Linked DNA regions of Schizosaccharomyces pombe. The protein of the gene in region 2 purifies or fractionates together with the protein of the main gene of each other region. This does not show direct contact. Each region holds a gene or a part of one and is shown on either strand. Other genes may lie near its edges. The genes, in order: iss1, cft1 and pla1.

Evidence for each region.
Region 1: the proteins of cft1 (region 2) and iss1 purify together in Schizosaccharomyces pombe (affinity purification with mass spectrometry, with the first as the bait; one study listed by BioGRID). This does not show direct contact.
Region 3: the proteins of cft1 (region 2) and pla1 purify together in Schizosaccharomyces pombe (affinity purification with mass spectrometry, with the first as the bait; one study listed by BioGRID). This does not show direct contact.

Annotation. Positions count from the first base shown.
Region 1 is NC_003424.3:752,087-755,842, forward strand, and holds iss1 (fip1-like pre-mRNA polyadenylation factor), read left to right. Parts: upstream 1-1,584; 5' UTR 1,585-1,617; coding exon 1,618-1,755; exon of another isoform or gene 1,756-1,800; coding exon 1,801-1,853; exon of another isoform or gene 1,854-1,900; coding exon 1,901-2,744; 3' UTR 2,745-2,993; coding exon of another isoform or gene 2,994-3,416; 3' UTR 3,417-3,590; downstream 3,591-3,756. Other genes in the region: nucleoporin Nup45, read right to left, coding at 1-45, 102-210, 257-343, 387-993, 1,070-1,124; protein cum1, read right to left, coding at 2,994-3,416.
Region 2 is NC_003423.3:1,111,629-1,115,384, forward strand, and holds the start of cft1 (mRNA processing protein Cft1), read left to right. Parts: upstream 1-1,641; 5' UTR 1,642-1,710; coding exon 1,711-3,756. Other genes in the region: erg27 (3-keto sterol reductase), read left to right, coding at 1-373; RNase P and RNase MRP subunit Pop8, read left to right, coding at 1,107-1,159, 1,201-1,359, 1,417-1,531. UniProt on the Schizosaccharomyces pombe protein: RNA-binding component of the cleavage and polyadenylation factor (CPF) complex, which plays a key role in polyadenylation-dependent pre-mRNA 3'-end formation and cooperates with cleavage factors including the CFIA complex and NAB4/CFIB.
Region 3 is NC_003423.3:926,860-930,615, forward strand, and holds the start of pla1 (mRNA cleavage and polyadenylation specificity factor poly(A) polymerase Pla1), read left to right. Parts: upstream 1-2,025; 5' UTR 2,026-2,129; coding exon 2,130-3,585; intron 3,586-3,628; coding exon 3,629-3,746; intron 3,747-3,756. Other genes in the region: gta1 (glutamyl-tRNA amidotransferase alpha subunit), read left to right, coding at 1-237, 284-1,109, 1,157-1,499. UniProt on the Schizosaccharomyces pombe protein: Polymerase that creates the 3'-poly(A) tail of mRNA's. May acquire specificity through interaction with a cleavage and polyadenylation factor (CF I).

The DNA.
Region 1 (3,756 bases), on a different chromosome or scaffold from region 2:
TTCGTCGGAATCAATTAAAAGTGCAGTCGAGACAGAAGATAAACGCTTTATTTTAGTTAGAAACAAATAAAACTTGGAGATAATAGAAGGAAATAACTCACTCTCTGTACTTCAGCGACATCATTAGGGACGGATTCAACCAATTCGGAAACAGTCCCCAACTTAGTTTGTAGTTCCTCTGCAAGTTGGATTTGGCTAAAAATTTCTTTGCTACGGACATGATTAGAACAAATTTTGTACATAAGGTAACACATACTCTAAGTCATCTAAAAATTTTTGAGTATTAGCGTTTAAGCTCGAGTATCTCGTCGTTGCATTAATAGCTGGATTAGAAGGGAGTTGCCTGTTTTTTTGTTAATGAAAAAAAAATTTAATAATTAACTTACGTTGTTGACGGTTGCTGCTGAGCTGCAGAAAAGAATGGAGTAGTTTGAGTATTATTGCTTAAACCAAAACCAGTTGAACCAGACGGTTGTGTGGATTGACCAAAAAGGCCAGCGGAAGCTGGTTGTGTAGAAAATTGACCAAAAGTCGAAGTATTAGGGCGGTTTTGATCAAATAGACCTCCTGTAGTTCCGATGTTAGACTGTCCGAAAAGAGAAGTATTTGCTTGAGCAGGCTGTGTTTGCGATTGTGTTTGATTTTGACCAGATAATCCAAATAATCCTCCAGTAGGGGCTGCTTGAGCAGGTTGTGCTTGTGTTTGATTCTGATTGAACAAACCACCAGGTGCTTGAGGTTTAGTAGTGGAAGCTCCAAACAGGCTGCCACCAGGTGCCGCTTGAGGGTTTTGTCCAAACAAATTTAGGCCGGGGGTAGTAGATGTAGCGTTTGGCTTATTTCCAAACAAGCTTCCACCAGTTTGAGGTTTTGTTTGACCAAAAGCTCCTCCTGTTACGCCTCCAAACCCAGTCGAAGCGGGCGTATTGGCCTGCGTATTGTTACCAAAAGTATTAGAAGAAAAAAGTCCTGTGCCTGCAGAAGTACCAGTATCTGAAAAGGTTAATATATGAATAAGCACAAAATTCGAAAAGTAAACTTGAAGACTTGTTCACCTAAAGAAACATACTTTGGTTTTGGGTTCCTGTGGACCCAAATGAGGGTGTTTTATTTAACCCGAACATTGCTTAAAGTATTAATACACGAATGTCCCTAGTGTAAATACCATGCAAAGATTATCATGAAAAACCACTCAGGTTATCTTTTCTAAAAAGGGTAATTGTAGAATCACAATCAATGATTAATATTATAATTAAGCAAAGATGGAAAAGATTAGTTATCTAAAGTTTCAAATTGAACTAGCTTTCAGGGTATCGTATAGTCAAATACTGCTGTGTTCGCAGAGCAAATTCAATTGTTAGTGTTAACTACAATGTGGCTCACTAAGTTGGCTTTCACGAGTGTTGGTCTGTTTCAACCCGTTTTAGCGCAAAATATTTTTACCCAGGTAAATGAAGTACGCTATGAAGTCCACTAGTATATACCGTACAACTCGGTACAATGTTTAGTGGACTAATGGCCCTAAGTGGTAAAGAAGAAGGAATCCATAATTTCAGGTGCGAGACTCAGTCAATGAATGGACTTGCCCCATATACATTTTAGAAGTGGGTTTTTACTATGTCAAATGCTGATCAGCACATGGATGTTGATGAGGATGAATATTTATATGGAGAAACCATAGAGGAACGGAATGATGGAGTTACAGTGTCAAATGCCAAGTCACCAGAGCAAGCAAGTGAAGAAAGCGATGATTCAGTAAGATTTCAATTAAAATGATACTGCTAACTGCTAATTTTGTAGGATATTGAATTTATCATTGAAACAAAGCCAGGTGAAAGAGCAGAACCATTAGGGTATGTAAACCAAAATAATTGATTTCAGATTATACTAATAATGTTAGTGGATCGATTGCAACATTAGGTTCAACCCGACCTTCTGCTAAACCTCAAGTAGAGAAAACTGCTGTCGAAGTAAAAACTACAGAACCCCAAGATTTATCGACAGCAGAAACTGCACCTAAAGTTGACATTGACGCTGTTCCTACAATTGATGGTAAAAACATTTTTGAGATTGATTTGGAGTCTTTTGATGATAAACCATGGCGCAAGCCTGGTGCAGATATCTCAGATTATTTTAACTATGGATTTGATGAATTTACATGGGCTGCTTACTGTGCCAAACAAACGACTTTGCGTGACGACTTTAGCCCCCAAAAATTTATGGCAAGTCTTGCTCAGATCCCGGGTCCTTTACCTTCTGGCAACGTACCATCACCTGCCGAGTTTCAAGCTATGATGGCTTCTGGATTTCCTCCATTTATGCCTATTCCTCCGCCTATTGGAGGCCCACAAGAGGATATGGGGTACTCGCGCAATTTTCCAGTCCATGCATCTTCAAACTATAATACTACACATACATCTGGTGGTGGTGTTCATTCAGGTGCAGCTACACCTAATGCGTATGTAAATAACAATCCTTCATCTTCTAGACGTGAAAGTGAAAGTCCAGCGAATTCCCCTAATATTACATCGAGTGCTGGTATGACGCATGCACAACCTACTCATAATCCTACATCGAGTTATGGGAATGGAGCCTCTACGAACTATAATGCCTCAAGACCTCCTAGTAACCATCCTCACAGTAGCAACTATCCTTCCTCATCAAGGCGAAAACCATCTCCGGACAGATACTCCAACTACTCCTCTAGAGGTTCTGGCGGCCGATATCGACGCAACAGATATTAAGATAAATACAATAACGTTTGTGTATGCAAATCTTAGGAGAATCGTTTTAATTGTATGCTATGGGGTGTCGACTACTTCTACAAGGACAACGGTTTCAAAAGTTAAAAGCTGGTGAATGAAATAATATTCATAAGATCATAAACATGTATACTCATCATTACTATGGAATTCTGTATTAACAACATAAAATCAAAACTGAAGATACTTCAGACACATCAAAGCAATGACGGGTAATCAACTGGGCAGCAATTAAGCTTGGGTTTCATCATCAATTTCTTCAAGGGCTCTTTGGGCGCGGGTTTTGGCTTGCTTGGATACATTAGGATTATGCATAGTAGCTTTATAACCTCCTCGGACATTTTCAATGTTCTTGCCCTCAAGTTGATCTTCTTCGACCAAATCACCTGTTTTCATAGGATCATCAACAAAACCCGACTCATCTCCCAACACATTTAGACCCTCCTCGTTGTCAAAGTCTGCATCCTCATCATAATCACCGAGATCCTCATAATCAAGATCACGGCCTCCAGCTTGAGCGGAATAATCACCAGTCTCTTGGCCGGAAGAATGACTTTCTATATAGTCTTCGGCTCTTTCTTTGGCTTGTTGTGATACATTGGGATTGTGTAGGGTGGCTTTCTTGCCAGCGAGAACACGATTAGGATCAGGCATTGTTTATAAATAAAATTGGAGTTCTTTCTGATTTAATAAAACGGCTTACAAAAAGTACTACGGTGCGAAATATTACTTCTTGAAAATTCGAATCGATAGTGATGTACCCCGTGCTCTATATATAATATTTGTAAGAGTCCTCGGAAATTGTGACATCAATTTATTTTCCATCCCATTCAGCATTTCGTAATGAGAATTGCAATCGTATTTTTGCTTTTGGGTTAATTCAGCGACAAATTAGCCCATTTGATTTTACGTAGACTATTTCGCTCAACAGATGATGCGGTACATCCGCTTTTCACTCGTTAATTGAAAGTAATTGAAACTAGCAGCTCTATCG
Region 2 (3,756 bases):
TGCAGAACTTGAAAAGGGACTCCCTTTTGAACAATACCTTGTCCATCCCGGACTATGTACTACTAACATGTATGAAACTTTCCTCGGTCCTATATTGGTTATGTGTGCAAAGCTCGGTTTCTATATTTGTCGCTTACTTGGAAGTCCTTGGCATACAATTTCTCCATACGTTGCTGCTTTTGCTTTTCTTTGGACTGCTTTACATGCTACCAAAGAAGATCAATCTATCAAGTGGGGAGCAGCCGTGACTCGTTTTGGTCATGAAAGAGTCCTCTCTACTCCTGTGGAATTAATTTTGCCTTCAGAGCAAGAGAAAGCTTTAGAATATATGACAAAACTTTACCAGGAATGGAAAAAGAAGCTGGTTTCGTAAAGGGAAACATTTACATATTCTCTTGCGCGGAGGCCTTGATAAAAATCTGGAGTACCAGTTAATTTTAAAGTGCACGAGACGAGGGGAGTTATGAAAGAACAATCCCTGATTCATTGCATTCTCAGTAAAACATTTTGAAAATTGCTTTTATCAAATTTTGCTACAATCGGTATAGATATCTTGACAAAATGAATAGATAAGGGGATTTTAACCAAGTCTGGAATATAGTTTATGTCTCAATTTAGTTAATACAAACATACGAATTTATTAGAACCTCGGACTCGGAAAAGTTTATATGAAGAATTCCGCGAGTTGCCGTCTTTGTCTCATGCTAGCTATAAGACCGCATTTCGTAAATTGTGTATCTGGATATATTTTATCAACCAGCAAAATTAAATTATGAAAAATAGCAATAATTCAAGTTATTAAATTTTTCTAATATTACACTTCGAATTGAAGGCTTCCTCATTTTGTTCAGCTGTTTGCTTTCTACAGGCATGAAAACAGGAAACATAATTAAACAGTACCTCAATTATTCGAAGATTAGCCTTCACATAACAGTTTATGTGATGGTACGATAATTTTAGTATGATAATTACGAGCTTGTAGATTCCACAGGAACTGCAGCAAATGCATCCTTAAACGTGTTGGTATCGTACTTACTCAGAAGTTTACTTCTCTATACAACTTTCACCAGACACGATCTGCCTTCCTTTTGAGTTAAAAAGAGGCCATGGTACTTCATCAACGTTTAAAAAGCGAATGGTCATATATAATACTTGAAGTGTAAGGAAGTCTGGGATAATTTGTTTCACTGACATACTTAGGGTTGGAGGTACTACCCCTATAGATGAAATAGACGATATTTCTTTACGACATCTCATCACATTAGCTCTAAATCAGTCATTTGGAATATTTGGGTCTGCAATTCCTATTGATTTTTTGCATCGACAATCAAAATTTTTGTATCTAAGGTGCCATAAAGAGTATGTCAACTACTGTAATTGTAATGTGCTATTTTACTTACTGAACAATAATAATAGGGATAAAAAGAAAGTCCTTGTGGCACTCGGATCCTATGTTCGCGAACCTGAACAAATAAGACTTATGGTATTACACGCTTCAGACTTTCCTTGTCAAGCGGTTCCTTTTTCATAAGTAAAAAGGATTGTATTATTATTATGTAAATTACTAGTTATTTAAAATGAATTGCTTTTAAAACCTACTTGTAGATTTTGTACACTGTATTTGGACGCGTCCAACTCCTTACTCTACCTCATCCTTTCCAGAAGCTCAACGTCCCAGTTGAAAGGCACATTTAATGTGGTATTTGCTTTATGTCAACCATATTTCAAGACCTAGTGGACTCTACAGTTATAAAAAATGCTGTCCAAGGCCAATTTACTTCTCTTGTATCTAATAACCTAGTGGTAAGTAAAGTGAATTCTTTACACCTTTTTGAGATTGAAAAGATTCAAAAAGATGAATCCAGTTTCCCATTAGATGATTCCTTGCAGAATGAATTCTCCACCAGCATAATCGATGAAAGTCAGGCGTTCATGGAGACAAATATGCATCTCATACGTACCAATGAACAAACTACCTACGTTCTTAGACTCGTTTCTCAAGTTAAAGTCTTCGGGACTATAACGGAAATATCGGCTTTGAAGGGAAAGGGAAGTAATGGGTGTGATTTGTTAATTATGCTTACCGACTATGCAAAAGTATCTACGTTGGAATGGGATATGCAAAGTCAGAGCTTCGTAACTAATAGTCTTCACTATTATGAAGATGTCAAATCTTCAAATATATGCTCCTCTCATACCCCTACACAGCTCTTGGTGGATCCGGATTCCGACTGTTGCCTATTACGATTTTTAACTGATATGATGGCTATTATTCCATATCCAGCTAACGAAGATTTGGATATGGAAGAGGCTGCTATAGAAAATTCTAAAATTTCTTCATCTTATGCCTACAAACCCTCCTTTGTCTTAGCTTCTTCTCAACTGGATGCTAGTATTTCACGAATTCTTGACGTTAAATTTCTATACGGATATCGCGAGCCTACACTAGCCATTCTATATAGTCCCGAACAGACTTCTACCGTTACTTTACCATTAAGAAAGGATACCGTTCTCTTTTCATTGGTAACTTTAGACTTAGAGCAACGCGCTAGTGCCGTTATTACTACCATTCAATCACTTCCCTACGATATCTACGCATCGGTTTCAATACCTACGCCTCTTGGAGGTTCTTTATTGTTGGGTGGAAATGAGCTTATATATGTTGATTCCGCTGGCCGGACTGTCGGTATCGGCGTAAATTCTTACTACTCAAAGTGTACTGATTTCCCACTTCAAGACCAGTCTGATTTTAACCTGGAACTAGAGGGGACTATTGCCATTCCCTTAACAAGTAGTAAGACTGAAACTCCCTTTGTCGTATTGGTGCACACGTCCGGTCAATTTTTTTATCTAGATTTTTTACTTGATGGTAAATCAGTCAAAGGACTGTCATTACAAGCTTTGGATTTAGAAATTAATGATGACTTTCTTAAATCAGGAATCACTTGTGCAGTGCCTGCTGGCGAAAATCTTGTTTTCTTAGGTAGCCAGACTACTGACAGTTATTTGCTTCGTTGGTCTCGGCGTACTACTAATGAGGAGGTAAGATTGGATGAAGGAGACGATACTCTTTATGGAACGAACGATGCTGAAATGGATGATATGCTTGATATTTATGAAACAGATGAATCCGTGGGTTCTAAAAGGAAGATTGCTTATGAAAACGGCCCGCTACGTCTAGAAATATGTGATGTATTGACAAATATTGGTCCAATTACTGACTTTGCCGTTGGAAAGGCAGGATCGTACTCCTATTTCCCTCAAGACAACCATGGACCTCTGGAATTGGTAGGTACAGCAGGAGCTGACGGTGCTGGCGGTCTTGTTGTTTTTCGGCGAAACATATTTCCATTAATAGCCGGTGAATTTCAATTTGACGGCTGTGAAGCACTATGGACCGTTAGTATTTCAGGAAAGCTACGAAATATGAAAAGCAGAATACAAGCTCAATACTCAAATCCCGAGTTAGAAACTTATCTTGTACTTTCTAAAGAGAAGGAGTCGTTTATATTTTTGGCAGGTGAAACCTTTGATGAGGTACAGCATTCTGACTTTTCTAAGGACTCGAAGACACTTAATGTCGGCTCTTTGCTTTCCGGTATGCGTATGGTTCAGATATGTCCTACTAGCCTGCGTGTATACGACTCAAATTTACGTCTTACTCAACTTTTTAATTTTAGCAAAAAACAAATAGTCGTCTCAACAAGCATTTGTGATCCTTGTATAATCGTTGTCTTTTTGGGTGGTGGAATCGCT
Region 3 (3,756 bases), 180 kb from region 2:
AATATAACAATTTATTAAAAGAAGTTGCAGCTAAATATGCTAGTATCATTCTAAATGATGCGAAAATTAAGTCTTTAACTTCAATAAATAGTGCCGAATATCTATATGATTCATTTGTTGAAATTAGTAAATTACCACTGGAAAAGAAGCTTCCGTTAAAATGGAAACTGATTACAGTAAAGGAAAATATTTGCACGAAGACAAATTTAACCACGGCAGCCTCTAATATGTTGAAGGGTAGACAATAAGAATATATTTCAGTTACTAATTGCGGTTTAACTAGACTACAATTCTCCGTTTGATGCGTCAATTGTCGAAAGCTTGAAGAAAGCCGGCGGTATTATTCTTGGTAAAACAAATATGGATGAGTTTGCAATGGGAGTCAAGAGCGAAAACAATCTTTTTGGTCGCACTGTTAATCCTGTTGTTAAGGATAGTAATTACGATGTTGGGGGCAGCTCGGGAGGAGCTGCTGCTGCAATCGCGGCGGATATATGTTATGCATCAGTTGGTTCAGACACAGGAGGATCAATCCGTCTACCTGCTGCTTACGTAGGTTGTGTAGGTTTTAAACCATCTTTCGGCAGGATTTCGAGATATGGAATGCTTGCCTTTGCCAATAGTTTTGACACAGTGGGTATCGCTGCAAATAATGTTAAGGGCGTTACCAAAGTATTTAATGTTTTAGACCATCCCGACATAAATGACTCAACCTGTTTAACTAAAGAAGCTCGTTATTTTGTTAAAGAGCAGCACAAAAAATTATCGCGGAAGCCAATTAAAATAGGAATTCCAATTGACTGGAATGTTTCTGAGACTCATCCAAACGTTTTAGATAAGTGGAATGAATTCATATCTCTTCTGAAATCAAATGGTTATCTTGTCCAAGAAATACAGCTTCCAATTTCATTATACGCTAACAGTGTATATTCCACAATGGCTTATGCAGAAGCGACTTCAAATTTGGCTAAATATAATACTATCGCATTTGGCAATTGTTTAGATGAAAAGTTCGAAGAGGAAATAATTTCATCTACTGCACGCTCTTTTTTTTTAGGAGACGAAGTGAAAAAGAGGCTACTGCTAGGCGCTTATTCACTAGCAAGAATGTATGATATAACTGATTTACTAAGTAGTTACTAATATTTACAAATAGGAATTCCTCTGATTTGTTTTCTAAGGCTCGATACGTTCGCCGAGCCATACAGCTGGAATTCAACAAAAACTTTTTTCTACCTTCCTTTTCTGTCGATGATCCCAGGGGTGACATCGATTTCATAGTTACCCCTTCTTTTTTTAATTCCAGTCAACCCATTGAAACCCCGTCCTCTTATAGTCATCTTTCAGATACTATGTTAGTTCCAGCGAATATGGCTGGAATACCATCCGTTAGCATACCTTTCGGTACTTTGAACAATGGGCTTCCAATGGGAATTCAAATTATGGCCCAATATCTTAATGACGAAGATTTGTTGTCTTTTGCAGGCCAGTTTGCATAGATTTCGGCTGCTTATCTAAACTCTCGAAACATGGCTATGATAATCTTTATGAGCATAATAATTCTTTACTGTTTGGAATCAATTTCATACATTGAAACTTGTTTGCAAAGAGTTTTGGAGAACTTGTCATCAATAATTCGACAGTTTCCCTACAACTGCGGTAAATCCAATAAATAGATGTGGATTCTGAATCATTTACACTTCTCAGCAACATAAATTATTTTTACATTTCAAGTCGCTAGTTTATTCAACCAAAAAAAATGCATATCTGAAGGATGGAATTTAACGGGTAAGCTTTTAAATACAAAACCAGGAGCAATCGGTTTGTCAGATAATGAACATAGTGCACTGTCAAGATATATATGATAAACAGCAACAATTGTATAATTTACCAGATAAATTAAATTTGATTTAATCGAAATAAATGTCTCAGTGCAACTGTAAATGAATTTTTTGACATTATAATAAGATAACGCACTTTGTGAAATTGCGTATTTATGCCTTAAATCCTAAACGAATGCTAACCAGATCTACACATTTAGCATTAGTACGCTTTAAACCAGTTGTTTTTAAAGGTTAGGATAATTTAAAACAGCTACCTTTCAAGACTCCAATTTTTGTTTTCAAAGCATGACTACCAAGCAATGGGGTATTACACCGCCAATTAGTACTGCACCTGCTACTGAACAGGAAAATGCTTTGAATACGGCTTTAATTAATGAGTTGAAGAACCAAAACTTGTTTGAATCTCCTGCCGAATCTGAAAAAAGAGTAAAGGTTCTTGATGAGTTGCAACAAATAACGACAGAATTTGTAAAGAAAGTATCACTTGCCAAACATATGAACGAAAAGATGGCTAATGAGGCAGGGGGGAAAATTTTTACGTACGGAAGTTATAGACTGGGCGTTTATGGACCTGGATCAGACATAGATACCCTAGTCGTTGTACCCAAGCATGTTTCTCGCGACAATTTCTTTCAGGACTTGGAACCTATGCTTCGAGAAAGAGAAGAGGTAACTGACCTTGCTGCTGTACCTGACGCCTATGTTCCTATTATTAAGTTTAAATTTTTGGGAATAAGTATAGATTTAATTTTTGCTCGTCTTTCAGTTCCGCGTGTTCCCCGCGACCTCGAATTGTCTGATAATAACTTATTAAAGGGTGTTGAAGAAAGATGTGTGCTAAGTTTGAATGGTACACGTGTTACGGATCAGATTCTGCAGCTTGTCCCTAATCGTGCTGTTTTTAAGCATGCTTTAAGAGCCATAAAGTTTTGGGCTCAACGTCGTGCAATATACGCTAATGTCGTAGGATTTCCTGGAGGAGTCGCCTGGGCCATGATGGTAGCTCGAATTTGCCAACTATATCCGAATGCAGTATCTTCTGTGATTGTTGCTAAATTTTTTCGTATTCTTCATCAATGGAATTGGCCTCAACCAATATTGTTAAAGCCCATTGAAGATGGCCCCTTACAAGTACGTATCTGGAATCCAAAACTTTATCCATCCGACAAAGCTCACCGTATGCCAATTATAACCCCGGCTTATCCATCAATGTGTGCAACTCATAACATTACTTTATCCACCCAAACAATTATCCTTCGCGAAATGGTTCGGGCTGGAGAAATTGCTGACCAAATAATGGTCAAGGCTCTTCCCTGGTCAGCTTTGTTTCAAAAACACGACTTTTTTCATCGTTATAAGCATTATCTTACGATCACAGCAGCTGCTAAGACAGCTGAAGCTCAATTGAAGTGGGCAGGTTTGGTTGAATCTAAGCTTCGTCATTTGGTTACTAGACTGGAGCTTGTTGATGCTATTGCTTTGGCACATCCTTTCAATAAAGGATTTGATAAAGTGTATAATTGCTCCAGTGAAGAAGAAGCTCAACAAGTAGCTAGCGGCGTTACTCTTGAAGTCGCATATGAATCTACGGATCATGAAAAATTAGCCAACGATACAGTTAATGAAGAGAAAGCCGACAATACTGAGAGTAAAGCTGATGGTTCTGAAAATGGTGAAAAACAAATTTTTCCTGTTTACACTACAACATGTTATATAGGGCTTGAACTTGAAAAGAAGAAAGGCAAGATACTACATTTTGAAATTAATTATGCTAACTTTATTAGGTCATCCAATTAAAAGACTTGATATTTCTTGGCCTACCCAAGAATTTTACGAGTTGTGCAAAAAATGGGATAAATATGATGACACCTTAATGAACGTTTTCATTAAGAATACTAAAAAGTAAGTCATT